Linked DNA regions of Rhinolophus ferrumequinum. The main gene of each other region encodes a partner of the protein of the gene in region 2 in a complex. Links are inferred from orthologs where the notes say so. Each region holds a gene or a part of one and is shown on either strand. Other genes may lie near its edges. The genes, in order: NDP and FZD4.

The links.
Region 1: the proteins of FZD4 (region 2) and NDP are in contact, whole or in part, in a crystal structure (PDB 5BQE), measured with the Homo sapiens proteins. The link is inferred for Rhinolophus ferrumequinum from reciprocal best matches to the Homo sapiens genes FZD4 and NDP. Residues at the interface, in NP_036325.2 of Homo sapiens: Ser51, Met52, Gln54, Asn55, Leu56, Gly57, Gln95, Phe96, Met105, Thr107, Lys109, Ile114, Asn152, His154, Met157, Cys158, Met159, Glu160, Gly161, Pro162; in NP_000257.1 of Homo sapiens: Asp33, Ser34, Pro36, Arg38, Met40, Arg41, His42, His43, Tyr44, Val45, Asp46, Lys58, Met59, Val60, Leu61, Lys102, Lys104, Leu106, Tyr122, Leu124, Ser125.

What each region holds. Positions count from the first base shown.
Region 1 is NC_046284.1:89,627,272-89,635,477, forward strand, and holds the start of NDP (norrin), read left to right. Parts: upstream 1-5,052; 5' UTR 5,053-5,365; intron 5,366-8,206. UniProt on the Homo sapiens protein: Activates the canonical Wnt signaling pathway through FZD4 and LRP5 coreceptor.
Region 2 is NC_046294.1:59,628,233-59,635,899, reverse strand, and holds the start of FZD4 (frizzled-4), read left to right. Parts: upstream 1-4,500; 5' UTR 4,501-4,819; coding exon 4,820-5,104; intron 5,105-7,482; coding exon 7,483-7,667. UniProt on the Homo sapiens protein: Receptor for Wnt proteins.

The DNA.
Region 1 (8,206 bases), on a different chromosome or scaffold from region 2:
TATGTGATATATATGGCCCCTGTTTTCATCTCTGACCACATCTCCTACCACCCTTGCCCTCTCATTCTGTTCCAGCCATCTTGGCATCCATGCTTAAGAAGTTTGCTCTTAGCACTTAAATTCAGATGTCACCTCTACAGAAAGACTAACTCTGGTCACCCTATTAACTCAGCCCTCTTCCTACACTATATTAATTACTTTCTCATTAATGTTTCATTTTCCTCATAGCATTTGTCACATTCTGTAGTCATCTTATGTATATATTATCTCTCTCACAGAGGCAGATACTAGTTATGTACCCATTACTATTCATACTCTTTTACCAGTAAAAATTTGACTGTGTCTAGTCTGCCATGTACCCAGCCCAAGGGCATGGGTCATGATCAGGCCAGGCCAGTCATAAAAATGTTTCCCTTTGCAGAGATTACTCTTGAGGTGGGAATATGGCCAGGTTCTGGTCAATAGGATGCAAGGGGAAACCCTTGGGGTTTCTGAAAAGATTTTCCTCCTGATAGAAGTAGATAAAAAGCAAGCTTTTGTCTCCTTCCCTCTTGACATCTGAATTTTGATGTGATTTCTAGAGTTCCACCAGCTATCTTGTGTCCATGAATTGACCTGCCAGAGAAAAACAGAAGCTGACAATGTTGAGCACGATGGAAGTGGAAGGAATTTAAGTTTTTAATAATACCATGGCCACTGTACCAACCCTACAGCTATTTACTTACTGAAGGAGCACCATAAATGTACTCATGTTTTAAGCCATTGATACTCAAGTTTTTATTATTTACCTTGAAAGTGTCTTTACTGATCTCTTCCTCCGTCATTACCATTGTCTGTCTTATCCAATGCTAGAACCCCTGGGTTAAGAACATCTGGCAGGTAGGAGGCACTGAAAGAATATTTGTTGAATGAATGTACGGATGAGTGAAAGTATCTATTTGCATCCTTGCCATGGTACCTATCTTTGCTCCTCTGCCTCAGTCTTATTCTTTCACTTGCATAGTCTCAGACTGCCTTTCCACTCTCCTTTTTAACCTCATCTGGACCCAGCTCCTAGCCTGTCTCCTCCTCTGCTCACCACATCCTCCAGGCTCACCATAGCATACATTTAGTCCCAGCCAAATGTCTGACTGTGTGCTCCTCCAAAAAACTCATATGCATCTTCAGGTTCCCACTCTATGGCTTTAAAGCCCAGACCCAGTGGAATTCTCCTGAATGCACCACTTTGATCTTATTGTAAATTTTGTTTTTCTTGTGACCCTATCACATTCTATCTTGCTGTGTGTTCAGAAGTTAACATTTCTCTCTTCATTACACTATCATAAGCATCTTAAGAACTATATCCATGTCCTACTTTACTTGTATTCTCCACAAATAACAGAGCATTACTATAAAATCACTGCTCAGTGAATTTTTGTTGAATGAGGGCAGCATGGTATAGTGGCTAAGCCATGGCCTTTTGGAGATGGGAAAGACAGAACTCATATCTATTTGCTTTCTGTGTCAACCACAGAGAAATCATTATCCTCTCAGAGCCTCAGTTTCTCCACTTATAAAATAGAGAATAATAGTATCTAACTTATAGGATTATTGTGTATCCCTCTGAAAGAGATTATGCATATAGAACATTTGGCACAGAGCCCAGCAGAGAGTACACTCCAATTAAATAGTGGTTATTGTCATTAGTAGGTATTTTTAATAAATACTATCATATTCATGAAGATGGTAAAGATTAGTATTCTCACAGATAATTATAAACCATACTTAGCAGACTATGCTGGTATGTTGGGATTTCATACACACACACACACACACACACACACACACACACCTCTATCTGTATCCATGTAGATATAATATCAAATGTTATTGCTTTTAATGAGTATCTTGATAAATATACACAGAGGGTGCCCCCAAACATGTATACACATTTTAAGAAAGGAAAAAAACTATTAAAATTGTAATACTCAATATATACCAAGAACAAAAGATGAATACAAGTCACGTTTGACTTCTGCAATTACAAGAGGTGCTCAGCGTGGTTACCATCAGCATCCAGACACTTCTGATTACTGCGAACTACTGCTTGAGCAACGTTGACCAAAGTGTACATGTGTATACATTTTTGGGCACCTCGAGATATATATATATATATATATATATATATATATATATATATATATATATATATATATATATATATATAATGGATCTTGTTATAAATTCACATGGAAATTCTCCACTTTCAAAATGTTATAGCAGAGTGACAGTGAATCTGAAACCGTTTGTTTGGGAAAGTAACTGAGAGGAAGTAGAGACTTCATTTCCAATTGCATGTTAATGATGTCAGTTTGCCTAACATTGGAAAATGCAATGTTCTGGCCAGAACTACTGGTTACCAACCTCAAAAACTGTCTCTAGCTAATTAAAGCAAAAAGTAATTTATTAGCAGGATCTTGGTGGGTGTGGTGATGGGGGCAGTCCACAGAATCACCAGGAAAGCTGGAGACCCAGGCTCATAAAATGGTGGCCAGAACGGATGCAGTCAAAAAAACCAGATTGGTTAGAATGCTGTCGTGGATGGACCCTGTATCCCCAGATAACCTGCTGTCACATGGCTGGGCTCTGTTGACCTCGGTGCTGGCTGCTACAACCTCTGGGCTCTCTATTCCAGTGTGACCATAGTGAATAACCTCTGACTGTCTGCATGCGTTGGCCACTCCGCCTGTCTGGCACATCTGGTGACCCAGGCTTGGTCAAACCTGGCCCTCCAGCTGCCCTGAGAAAGGGAGAGAAAACATTTGCTCCCTTCAGTTTCTGCAGGGAAGAGGCAGGTCCTGCCTCCTACCTGCTTTGGGATTACATATCCATCCAGGGGTGTTTGGATGTTGTATGACTCCTGTAAATATCCACTACAGCCACCAAGAAAGAGAGAGGCAACCTGGAAACAGTACCAGAAATAAAAAACTCAGGCGTGGTCCCTGGAAGAATTTCCCATCCAGATAATAGACATCTCCTTCTCCAAATTCTTCCCACCCCAAATGCATATGAAATAACAGCAGGAGTATTTTCATCACTTTTTGTGTAGATAGAAATTTAAAGAGAGCGCTTATTTCTCAGCAACATTAATAATGGCCAGTAAAGCAACTACACTTGGCACAGTGACCTTTCCAAAAAGCATGGTGATGTGCTAAAAAGAGTTGCTGTTGCCAGATAGCTATTGATAGGCTCAGGAACTGGTCCTCTGAAGCCCAACTGGTGGAGACAAAGCTTCCCTTTTGAAAGGGGCAGCAGATGGTATTCTTCGCCACCTCTGATAGAATAATGGCTGGAGACAGCAGTGGGGCTCCATCTGGGAGAGAGTTTATCTGTGGCCAAGCAGTCAATGTGTTTGCAATCTTTACACTTTCTGTGGTGTTCTTCCAGAAGCACAGATTATAGAAGGCTGGAAAATTCCAACCAGGAAGAACCACACCTTTTCATGTTACTTCAGAGCAGGTAGAGTGACTCTGAGAACCCAAAGGCAAAAGATACCAGGGCAGAGTGGGAGCATATGTTGAGAAAGCCACAAATTATTTAGTAGGAGAAATGAAAAGGTGGATGGACATCAAGTTCTGATATTTGAAAATGTTGGTAGCCAAAGAGTTTATTCTCTCTCCCAATCTGACCCACAATATTGAGCCAGAAAATGTGTTCATGACTATTTCTATGGCTCTTACTCAGCTATAAGTCATTTCCCCTTTCATATTATTTCCATTTTTCAGGCCCAATTTCCATTTGCTTTTTGATCTTCTGCTTTTAAGACAGTTAGCCAGTATCATCATCAGCCAAATGCCAGCTGTTTTTTTCAAGGCTTTGAACTTGTCATTTATCCTTTATCCTTGTAGGTGGATTCTGTTTGTGAATGGCTGGTCCCAAGTAGACAGGGATTTCCTGGTAGAGCAAAAGAAAAGGAACTTCTTATTATAGGGTAGATGTAAACCTGTAAATTTCAAGACACCCCCTATAAACATCAGTGAATGGAGTAAAGATTCTGGGGAAAAGTAACAATGTGATTATCAATCTATTAACGAATAATAAATGATGTGATACAGTTGAACATGACAGCTTCAGCATCAACAATTATACGGAGCTCCCAAGAGAAAGTTCTTCGTAAGTGTTATGATATATTTATTGTTCTGTGAAATATCATTTTTAATATGCTCAGTTTAATTCTTCATTAGTGTTAATAAAAAAATTATTCTGGGACTGGGTCCATCTGACATAAAATTTTATAAATGGTTCAATGGTTCTTTGTGTTTTCCACAAAAATTGCTGATAGTTTTCTGTCTTAATTTTAAGCTTCTTAAGGGCGAGAATTATGAAATATTTCCCTTTGTATTCCAATACCTCATAACTATTATTCAGCTAATAAGTGCTTAGCTCACACACATAGTTACATTTGCCATTTTTCTCCTAGTTATGGTGTGGTGGGTTGGCTTTACCTGTAAGTCTCACACTCACATATCTCAAGGAGTCAAGGCTTACACTTTCTTGTTTCTAAATCAGATCTAAAATTTTATTCTAAATGATGCAGATGAAGGCACTTATTAAAGTGCCATTGTGGATTTAATCATGGATACACTGCTAAAAATCATTTAATGGATGAGCAACTTAGAAAAGAACTCTCACCACCCACACACACTGTGATAAAAAAAAAGGGGGAGGGGGCAGCGTTTTGCACTTGCTTCAACAGCCTGAGTAGTTCTGAGTCCCATCTTTCTCCTCTCTTACTTAGATTTTTAACTTTATCCCAGGCAGCTGCTGAATCGTTAAACAGAATGCCACTCTGTCTTTGTATTTCTAAAACTATATGTCTTTATTGCGGACTGCACATCTTTATGGCAGCACAGGCTTGCCAAAGAATTAAATTCAAAATATTCATTCAGCCCCTTATTATTTCCATAATACCAAACAAAAATGGGGGGACTTCCTTGCCCTTGCTCTTCTATGTTGTTCCCATCGCAAGATGCTCCGTGGAAGGGAGCCGAGCAGTGGGCAGCGGCTGTGAGTCCCCGATAACGAGCGCCTCACATTTCCGTGGCATTCCCATTTGCTAGTGCGCTGCTGCGGCCGCATGCCTGATTGATATATGACTGCAATGGCACTTTTCCATTTGACATTCTCTCTCTCTCTCTCTCTCTTCCTCTCTCTCTCCCTCTCTCTCTCCCTGTGTCGCTTAAACAACAGTCCTAACTTTTGTGTGTTGCAAATATAAAAGGCAAGCCATGTGACAGAGGGACAGAAGAACAAAAGCATTTGGAAGTAACAGGACCTCTTTCTAGCTCTCAGAAAAGTCTGAAAGGAGCCCTGCGTTTCCCCCAAGGTAAGCAGGAAAACAAGCGCTGACGGCTTGCCTAGGAAATTACTTCTTTCCAAACCGAGCATTTCATCCTCCTCTCAGACAAAGAGACAACCTTTAAATACCACTTAAATTTGCATTAATTTAATTTGCATTAATCTGTAGCATGCTAGCATTGTGTTTTTTAAATGAACGTGTCTTTGAAGTCTGTGACAGAGCAGGAGAGCCTCACAGAGAGGCTGGAAAATCTCTTTTGGTTTGACTTAAAGAGATTTGATTTTCAAACTCTCTGTGTAGTTAGATGAAACTTTGTAATGGTTCTTATATTTGACCCTGTGAAAGGAGACTGAGAAGCCGACATGGATTCCTGAAACCCCAGTATCTTCCCCGCCGCCCTCATCCCTCTTACAATGGGGGCACTATTAACGCGGGCAAGCCTGCGAGTTTAAAAGCGCACTGTTTACTTTTATTACTACTTGTGTATGCTGCTGATGTCCTGCCAGGGCTCTGTCGGAGTGCTTAGGATGACTTCAAACAATAGGCAACATTTATTTCTAGCTTTCTGTGTCATGCTTTGCAGGAATCTTGTTCCTTTGCGCTCTTCTCCAAACCTGCAAGGACTTTGCTTCCATAGATGCAGTCAGGAGCACTGGGGAGAGAGGAGGATGGGTTGACAATATGATTTTGATTGGGCAAAAAGTCTGAGGAAATGCATGCTGTTTGCCTTGGCCTTATTGCAAAGGGTTATTTTTAGTAATCAGCTTGTTCCTGCAGCAGGACCGATGCTACGCTGTCTAAGCAGAGACCTGGAAAGGATGCTCTCAGCAGCACAGGGACCAGGACGTGTAAGAATGAATCCTACCTGAGGAAAATTTGGAGGATTCTTTCAAGCTCCTGAATATAAGTTCTCTCTTTAAATGAACAATTGGGCTGCAGGAGGCCTGAGCATAACTCTTTCTTGGGGGACTGGAAGTTTGACTGTGTGCAGAATATTAATGACTCAGAACGCCCTGTAACTGAGGCTCATTGTAATCAACGAGCTCAGAAAATCCTACATGAAAGAGGCAGACTCCTTTCTCTACTGAGATTCAGGTGCAGGAAAGGAATCTATTTGGCATGATGGGAGTCCCACATCCTATTCTTTGCAACTGTCATTAATAACAGATATGGATGCTGCGAAAGATGTCCTTTTCATTTCTAATATTAGTGTATTTTAATTACAATGAGCTGGCATTGGCAACTTGCTCCAACACATAATATTAAATACCAGGTGCACTTGAAAACATAGAGATGCCTAAAATGCAGTGTTAATTGTGGTGTCAACCAAATAAAGCGGGGACTGCAGATGTTTCTGGATTGTGTGTTTAGACGAAATGCAGATATCTGCCCATTTTCTTCTCACCCATCTGGCTTCTGGAAGTAACTTTAGGGTTCTGTCGATCAGTTTTCATTGTGGAGTGGAGACATGGTTTATGTGGGAACCTTTCTGATTTTCTCTAATAATTAGCCTAACAAACATTGTTAAAAGAAAATCTAGCTTTTGGATGAGCTAATTTACAACTTTGGGATATTCACTCTTTGAGAAAGCCTAAGATCATGCTATGGATTCTATTGCTATACAATTTTACAGTGATTTTTTTTTTCCAAAAACTGCTGCTGTCAACAAGGCATTTAACCGAATCAAAACAGTTTTCTTAAACTGTTATTCAGATTATTATATAAGAGTGTCTGAACACAAAATGTAATGTTTTGCATCATTCATTTTAAAACGCATTTGGTTCAGGTAAAGGGAGAACTGGTTGAGGCTTTTTTGATGACTGTGTACCAAGCAGCTGACACTCACAGATGGAAACATGCCTGTGGAGTTTTCAATCTTAATATGAGTTCCAATGACAATGTCAAGGGAAAAATAAATCATTTTTCAATACATTTAACAATTTCCAACTCATTTATTTTCCTGGGACCTTGAAAAACATGGTGAGTTCCTCAGAATTATAGCCATCAATGGTGGCTGGCAATTTTTACTCCATTTTCAGAACTCACAGTTCAAGTACTATTATTCTTGTTGGTTAATTATTCATTCCATCATTCTTTTAATAAACTATGCTAGTCCTGATGATACAATGGTGAATGAGACATTGTCTCATGCCCTAATTCTCAGTGTATGTTATCTCCAGTTAGATTTTGGAACTGAAATGGACTTTGCCAATGGGTAAACTGGGCAATGACTTGCTTATTATAAGGCATTATTTAAAATATCTGCTAGTAGCCAGATTTACTTGAAATAATTGTCACTTATCAATGGGTTTTCTTTCCATTTATGATTAAGGGGTTCGCCTTAGGCCTTTATCACTGGATCCTGGGTACACATCACTTGCATAGCTAACATGGCCAGGATCTTTCCTGCCTGGGTAGAAGAAACCTGGAAAAAGGGCAGTTCATCTTTTCTCTAGTCTCTTGAACACCTTTTAGAAAGGACCACATGGTATCTTTATCAGGGATGGCTGCCCCTGATGTCAGCAGCTGACATTAGGGCCTCTTCATGAATCATTGAATTAGAAGCAAGTACAGAGGAAGATGCAGTCACTATCTTCCTCACTTGCTTATCCCACCCCCAGTATCGAAACCAATGACCTCTGGGCCTGGCCTAAATTCAAGAGGCCTCTGGGAAGAAGTTGCTGGAAGTTGTTCCTCAAACCCAGGTCTCTGTCAGAGCCACACACATTGTTGCTTTCAGATAATCCAGTCTCCTGCTTTCTGACATGGGTAGGTTACTGGAAAAAGAAAAAAAACAAAACAAAATCCTGAAGACAGCATCACCAGGGTCCTTGATTTGGTCCTTATCAGCAGATAATACCCGTGGTT
Region 2 (7,667 bases):
TAGTGTTTCTCTTTGCTCTTCAGGAGCAAAACAGTGAAGAAGACCCAGCATCTGACCTCAGGGTTTGTGAGGGAGACCAAACAAAGAAACAAATAAAACAACCCCCCCAAAAAACAAACTTATAATAGAGTAAGGGACCTCAAGAAAAAGCACTTAACTGTAAATAGGCTTGTTTTATTATGGGTCCCATGTCTTAGTCTCCTCCAATGTGACTGTAAGTTCCTTGAAGGCAGGGACCACCTGTTGTATGTCTGCGTATTTCCCAGTACCCAGCTCCGTGACATGCCCACAACAACCCATCACTAAACATTTTGTAATGGTTTGACTGACAACCACGGACATGAAATGAGGTTGTGGAGGTACAAAGTGCATTTACATTATTTTTTGCCTCCGGCAAAGGCTCTTGGTTGCCCATCTATATATTAAACCAACAAATAAGAATGTCCCATGTACCATCTTATGTGTGGTGGGAGGAATAGGGCTTTGAGTCCTTGATATGCAAAAGCTCTGTGGTCACCAGATTCTTCTCTGCTGACTAGTGGTACAATGGACGAGAAGGTTTGGCTCTGCCACTTAAGAGCTGTTTATTAACCCCTTGGGGCCTCTCATTCCTCGACTTTGAGCAAGATTCCTGTTCCCTTCTGCTTTACTTAGTATACACGTTTTTGTTTCATAACAGTTTGGGTGCAGGGGAAGATGTAGCACCCAGACTATCTATCAACGGATGGGATGTGGCACGGCTTCTCCCTGTGCTCCTATGTTCCCCGGTAAACTCGCAATCCTTATGAGGTTTTAGTCCCAGTGAATTCTCCCCTCCAAAACTGAAAAGGATAATTAGGAACCACTTTCTTGCATTTTCTATCAAGACAGCTCATTGTGAGTTCTAAATGTTCCGTCCAGATTCAAAGAAGCTGGTTTCTCCATGAGTGGTTGGAATAAGACTTTTCTTGGAAGCTACTGAATATGGATTAGTTGGATTGTTTTGCAGAAAGTAAAAAGCAGGCTGTGGTGACTACTTCAGCACTTAATTGGGTTAGCAAAAAGCTGCAAATGAGAGGTTTTCCTTAGGAGGGAAAGGATGTTTACGCCCCCCCCACACCCCTTCGCAGGTGGTGGATGTTAACCTAAACCCTACTCTTCCAATGCAGTCTTTAATTTAGGAATCATTACAAGAATCTATTAGAGCAGAAGATGTCAGGTTGAAAAATTAACACATCACAGGAGTTAATTAGAATCTAGCCTCTCATTAGATGCAAATGGAGAGCCCTCCAACTGCCCACCAGCCCCCTGAAGTCATGTTTGTTGCAGCTCCAAAGTGTGCCGCGTGCATCTTCACTACTCTGAGAGCGATGGAGGAAGCTGTCCAGGCACTCAGGCGAGAGCCACTAGGGGTCACGGCCTGCCCTTTAGGTTCATAGAAGGTCCTATTCCCATGTCCCTATCTCCTACTCCTCTCCTAAACGCTCTGCATGTCACAGGGGGGATAGCCCTCTACCTGGAAGTATTTTCTGCAACAAAGACAAACATGCCATGCCTGTCACCAGGAGCAGACTGGCGACTATAAACCGCTCTGTGAGAGGGAGACTGAGGGGCTCCAGGCCATTCAGACTTAGCTCTAAGTTGTGGTCTTTGTTTTCTTTCCACATTCAGACTGAAATGTGATTCCCCTGGCTTTCTTTTTTGGAAAATACCTGCCATGAGCTCCATGCCGGGAAAGAAAAGCTGTTGACAGGAAAAGCTTCTGACCGGGAAGAGGCTTCTTCTTTGAGTGTTCTCAAAGGAGACAGTTGCTTCAAGCAACCTGAGGCAGGGATGCCAGGGCCAGGTATAAGAGGCCCAGATCACAAAAGGGTCATCTTTACGGAGTAAATTGAGTGTCAAGAGTTTCCTCTATGGGAGCAGTACCGTGCACTCCCTGCACACAGACTTTTGGGCCAGACAGACATGCAACTGCGTCCTTCTCTGTCACTTACTGTGTGATCTTGGGCAAATTGCTTAACCTCTCAGAACATCAGTTTTCTCAAGTTGTGCAAAATAAATGAGATAATACGTATGTTAAACATGTTACATAGTATCTGGCACAGAGTACAGGTTCTAGATGAGTTATTTGTTACTGATTTGATAATAGTATTCCTTCACCCAACACTAATGATATTCCCTCTGTGTATCAGACCCTGTGTTATGGAGGTCATTGTTTAATAAACCGTGTACACATACATTTAGCACAAAGCAAACCCCCTTCCCCTCCCTGTAAGTGCCCCAGGAGACGTGCCAGTTGCACACTAACTCCGCTTTGTGGAGTAGCTCAGAATCCTGCAGGTCATCCCTCTTTGAGCAGCCCTCCAAACTTAGCACCTCTACTTTCAATTTGCCCCCGATTCTCTCTCTGTGCACTTATCACACTGAGTTACAGTTATCTGTTTATTCTCTGTCTCTTCCTGCGAGTTCCTAGAGGGTGGGGATCTTCTATTTATTTGACACATGCATCTAATCATTTAGTCATCACTGTAGGCCAATGGTCTCATGTATTACTCAGCCCAGGCATACAGAGCATTCGACCCTACTGCTGAGTATGTAGATTTTCAGCTGGGAACTCTTCTGGGGAAACAACCCAATTTCCCACCTTTGAAAGGCCTCTCGTGAGCCCTGGTTTGGTTGATCTTTCATTTTCTAACTATCCCTTTGGTTCTAGCCTCAGTTTCTTCATATCTTCAAGGCACTAATGGAGTCTCCTTCCCTGGGAGGTGATGATGATGGCTGGAGATAACGCAGCCTGTATGTGCCCCAAACAGTTCTAAGCACAGAGCCAGATACCAAAAATGTTGATTCCATTCTTGCCCTCAGCCAAGTTTATTTGCCAATGTAAGAAAACTAAAAATACAAAACAGAATATGAGCACCACATTTAGTGGTACACACATCCCTCCAACTTACATACAGCCTCTGCCATTTGACAGACTTAGCTGAAATGGTAGGACACAAACACGCATAAAAACGTTGTCCCTGTCACCGAGCCCTAGGTAAACAGTGGCAAGTGTGGGACAAAAAGATCTCAGAAAAAAAGGAAAGCTCTTCACCAGATCCTCAGACCTGGGCTGCTGGAGATACCGTTTGGCACCATGCTGGCAAGCAGGAGGCTGTCCCACAATAACCAAGGTATTTAGCACTTACTGTGTGCCAGACACTGTGTGAAATGATTTACAGGCATTCTCTCATTTAATTCTTAGAACTACTGTGTGGGGTAGACGGGAACTGCCTCATTTATAGTAGATGGCCAATTTGAGGCTCAGAGACATGCAATAACTTGACCACAGTAAAGTAACAAGTAAATGGTTTAGGAATCCACCTGCTGAGGGTTTCACTGGCTCAGCTGGAAATGGGACAGGGTGAACTAACACAAAGCTGCGTCCCAGGGGGTGGGGGTAGGAAGACCTAGGAATGAGAGGGGAAAGTTGGATCCAAAACACCGGTCGCGTGATCCGCTGGACCCTACGCAGGAGCAGAATAAATTAGAAAGAGATGCAGGCTTCAGAGGAGGGATGCCTGGGACACTGGGAGAAGGGAACACCGGTGGCTGTGCGCCTTCTTGGCCCCCCTCACCCCCCTCCTCTTGCACAGGTCAAGCCTCTCCCCTCCAGCCCTCTCACCCTCCCAACCTTATTTAGAAACCGTGTCCCCGAGACAGGAAGGGCGGCGGGCCGAGAAGCACGGAGCGTCCCGGTCTCATTTCCTTTCGAATCCCCCTGTGGAATTTCATTTCATACGGTGAGGAAATCGGAGCGGGAGACCGTCGGCTGGTCGGCTGCTCCCGGGCGCCTCCCCCACTCGCGGCTGGAGACAGGCCCCTCTCGAGCGCGGGTCGGCCCAGCCTGGGGGCGGGGAGAGGGGGGCCGGGCTTCCAACCCAGCGAGTTAGGAGTGAAAATAGCTGCGAGCTCTCGCTGTACTAGGCGCCGTGCTAAGCATTTTACGCATTCTCTCTAATCCTCCTAATTCTCTTCACGGATGAGGAAACCGACGCCCAGAGGTTGAGCAATTTGCTCAAGTTCACACAGCTGGGGTTTAAAGTCACAATCTTTGTAAATCCAAATCCCGTGTTCTTTGTGTACGTTTCTCTGCCTGACGGGGAGGTGGCCACCGGCGGATGTGACAGCTGGAAGGAGTAAAGGCAAGGGAGCCGACCTATCTGGGAGCATTTCTCACCTGGAAGAGGAGGGGGCAGGCTCGCCCGGCCGGAGCAACTCGGCTCCATCCCTGCCTGGCCCTTGAACGCCACGAACCCGGTGGGAGCAAAGCGAGAGCGGGGAAGCAGGGCGGGGCGCTCAGGAGAGGGAAAGGAGGGACCGCGGAGAGCCGCCGGAGGGCGGGGCCTGACCCCTCCTGCCGCAGAGAGGCCCCGCCCCCCGCTGCCCACGGCGCCGGCCATTGGGGAGGTGCGCTGTCCGTCTCGCTCCACTACCGCCCAGCGAACCCCTAGCACCGCGGAGGGCTTGAGCAGTTAGAGCGGCGCGGCGCTGGGTGCTGGCGGGCTTCGGGGAGACTCCGTGCGGACACGGCCCGCGTCGGGTCGGGGGCTCGCCGCCTGCAGCCATGACCCTCGCATTCTGTCCCTCGGCTCTGGCCCTGGAAGTCTAATATCCCACACAGTTGCGCGCAGCTGCTGGAAAGCCGCCGCTGCCCCCTCATCGCCCTTGGAACCGTATCACACTCTGCCCAGGAGCTGGGAGCAGCGCGGGCAGTCAGCGCCCGGGTGCAAACTGGGGGTGTCTGCTGGAGCAGCCCCCGCCGCCGCCACCGCCGCTGCTGCCCTAGGCTCTGGCCATGGCCTGGCGGGGCGCAGGGCCGAGCGTCCTGGGGGCGCCCGGGGGCGTCAGTCTCAGTCTGCGGCTGCTGCTGCTGTTGCCGCTGCTCCTGGGGTCGGCTTGGGGCTTCGGGGACGAGGAAGAGCGGCGCTGCGACCCCATCCGCATCTCCATGTGCCAGAACCTGGGCTACAACGTGACCAAGATGCCCAACCTGGTTGGGCACGAGCTGCAGACGGACGCCGAGCTGCAGCTGACAACTTTCACGCCGCTCATCCAGTACGGCTGCTCCAGCCAGCTGCAGGTGGGCGCCCCCACCCCCACCCCTGGCGGGACCCCTTGGGCAGGGATACCCGAAACTAACTCCCTGAAGCCCTTGCCATGTCGAGCCCCCTGACCCTTTCCTAGGCTGAAGGGTATAACTATCCTGAAAAAATGACTTCCATCCCTACCCCCACTTTTCTGTCCCTTCTCAGGGACTGGGAAGCCAAAAACGTTGTGTAAGTCATCTGGCCTGCGAAAGAACCCACTCTTACACCCCGCCCTTCCGTTTTTCTCCCCTGCCCACCCGTGTCTGGCCAAGCCCCTAACCCCAGTGGAGCTGAGGGTTATCTTTGCCAAGGACTCTGGCCGCCGCTGCTCAGTGGGCGAGTCCCCGGCAGGGCAGCCAGCTGCAACTAAGACTTGGAGGAGAGATAAGGAACTGGGAACCTCTCCCTCACCGACCTCGTTTCTCCCCCATATTTTTGGGTGGTTTATGAAATGAAACAACACTGCGCGGTTTTCTGCGGAATGGCCCCTCCTCAGGTCGTCCTGCATGACTTTAGAGGTCACTCAGGAAGGAATGGTTGGATTGGCTTGAGTTCATTTGTTCTTCAGGGTGGAGGGCAGGTTTAGTACTTGGAGGGGGAGAAAACACAGCTTGGGAAAAAAGTGATGGTATGGTTAAGCTCCAAGAAGAAGGTAATTTGTATATTGAAAGATTATCATTGTTATTTTTTTGCAGTCATTAACAATTTTAAAGCTTATGTAATGATACAAAAGATGTTCATCCTACAGCAGTAAGTGAAGAAAGAATTTGCATATACTGGGTGATTATAATCTTCCAAAAACAACAACCAATTCATTGGAAAAGAAAAAGAATTGAAAGGACGTTTTAAAAAGTGTTAACACTGGTTTCATTTTGTTTGGCGAGGCTATGAGTGATTTTAAGAAGTTTAGAAAAGAGAGAAGTTGGGGGGAAAAAATAGGGGATAGTTGTCCAGGCTAAAAGCTTCCAATATCTGTGGTTCTGGTTGCAACTTCTGAGAGATAAGAAACAAGCATGCAGCTTACTTACTAGGTGCATGTCATATACACAAATATACCGTGTTTCTCCGAAAATAAGACCTAGCCAATCAGCTCTAATTTGTCTTTTGGAGCAAAAATTAATATAAGACCCAGTCTTATAGTAAAATAAAACTGGGTCTTATATTAATTTTTAATTTTTGCTCCAAAAGTTGCATTAGATCTAATGGTCCAGCTAGATCTTATTTTCGGGGAAACATGGTGTGTGTGAGTGTGTGTGTGTGTGTGTGTGTGTGTGTGTATAAAATTTTAAAAGTTTTTTCAGAACTTTTATGTTTCTATGTTTTCAGAAAGATGGTTGGGATTAGACCCATTGCTGGTGAAATGTCCCTTGGGAAGTTTCAGAACTTTAGAACTAGGTTATAAAAGCTTAAGAAATGATCCTCTAGCTCTCAGTTTGGAAACAGAACATATCCTGACATCAGTGGCAATTTTGTTGGAGAAACAGCTTTTGCGGGGATATATATTTTTAATTACATGTATCCTGGGGAAGCAGCCAAGCTGTTTTGAAGGACAAGACTGGATCCCTTTTCATGCTGGAAAATAGTTACTTGTAACTCTAGACTTCATAGACAACATCTGTAAGGAGCCAAGCAGACTGTTTATCAATGCTGGAGGAATTGAGGACAGCAACTGGACTCTCCCCTACTGGTATTGCAGTTTCAGGGACTTAACATTTATATTTTCCTATTGTGCTTTATTATTATTCATTATGGAAACCTGGCCAAACAAACCCCAGGCGACCAGAGAACTTAACCTGCATCCTATTCTTGGGTGTAACAGTGTCTTAATTAGGACACTTTCTCTTTCACTGTGGGACTGATTAAAAAATAATTTTAAGGGATAAAATATAGAAAAGAGAGAATATTAACAGGAGAAAATCTGGATCTACCTATTTTTTAACATTTACTTTTCTGGTGATAAAGAAATGGGGATAGAAATAAGTCACCCCAATCATCGAAATGACTGAGTCATTTGATTGGTCTGTTCTGCTCTTTCAAATGGTAGCTGAAAAAGAAGGGAGACAAAGTCAGTTTTTTAAGGTTTATTTCTTTTAAGTGTTGTGCAAAAAGGGATTATATATTTCTTTGGGTCCTTTTTATACATTTTTATTTATGTTCTGGGAAGGATTACTAGGACCAAAAGAAGAAAAGTGAGTAAGTGACAGATTATCAGGCCCTCTTGTTTGAGGGCAGCATAAATGTTCGGCCTCCCTATAGGCTGGTTTAAAAGTAGATGTGTACTTTGACTGGAAGTGTATAACTCAGCTTTGTGCAAGCATTCGATCATGCTTCCAAGTCACAGTTTCCTTTGTTCATTTCATTACTTTTCCAGTTCTTCCTTTGTTCTGTGTATGTGCCAATGTGCACAGAGAAGATCAACATCCCCATTGGCCCATGCGGTGGCATGTGTCTTTCGGTCAAGAGACGCTGTGAACCTGTCCTAAAGGAATTTGGATTTGCCTGGCCGGAGAGCCTGAACTGCAGCAAATTCCCACCACAGAATGACCACAACCACAT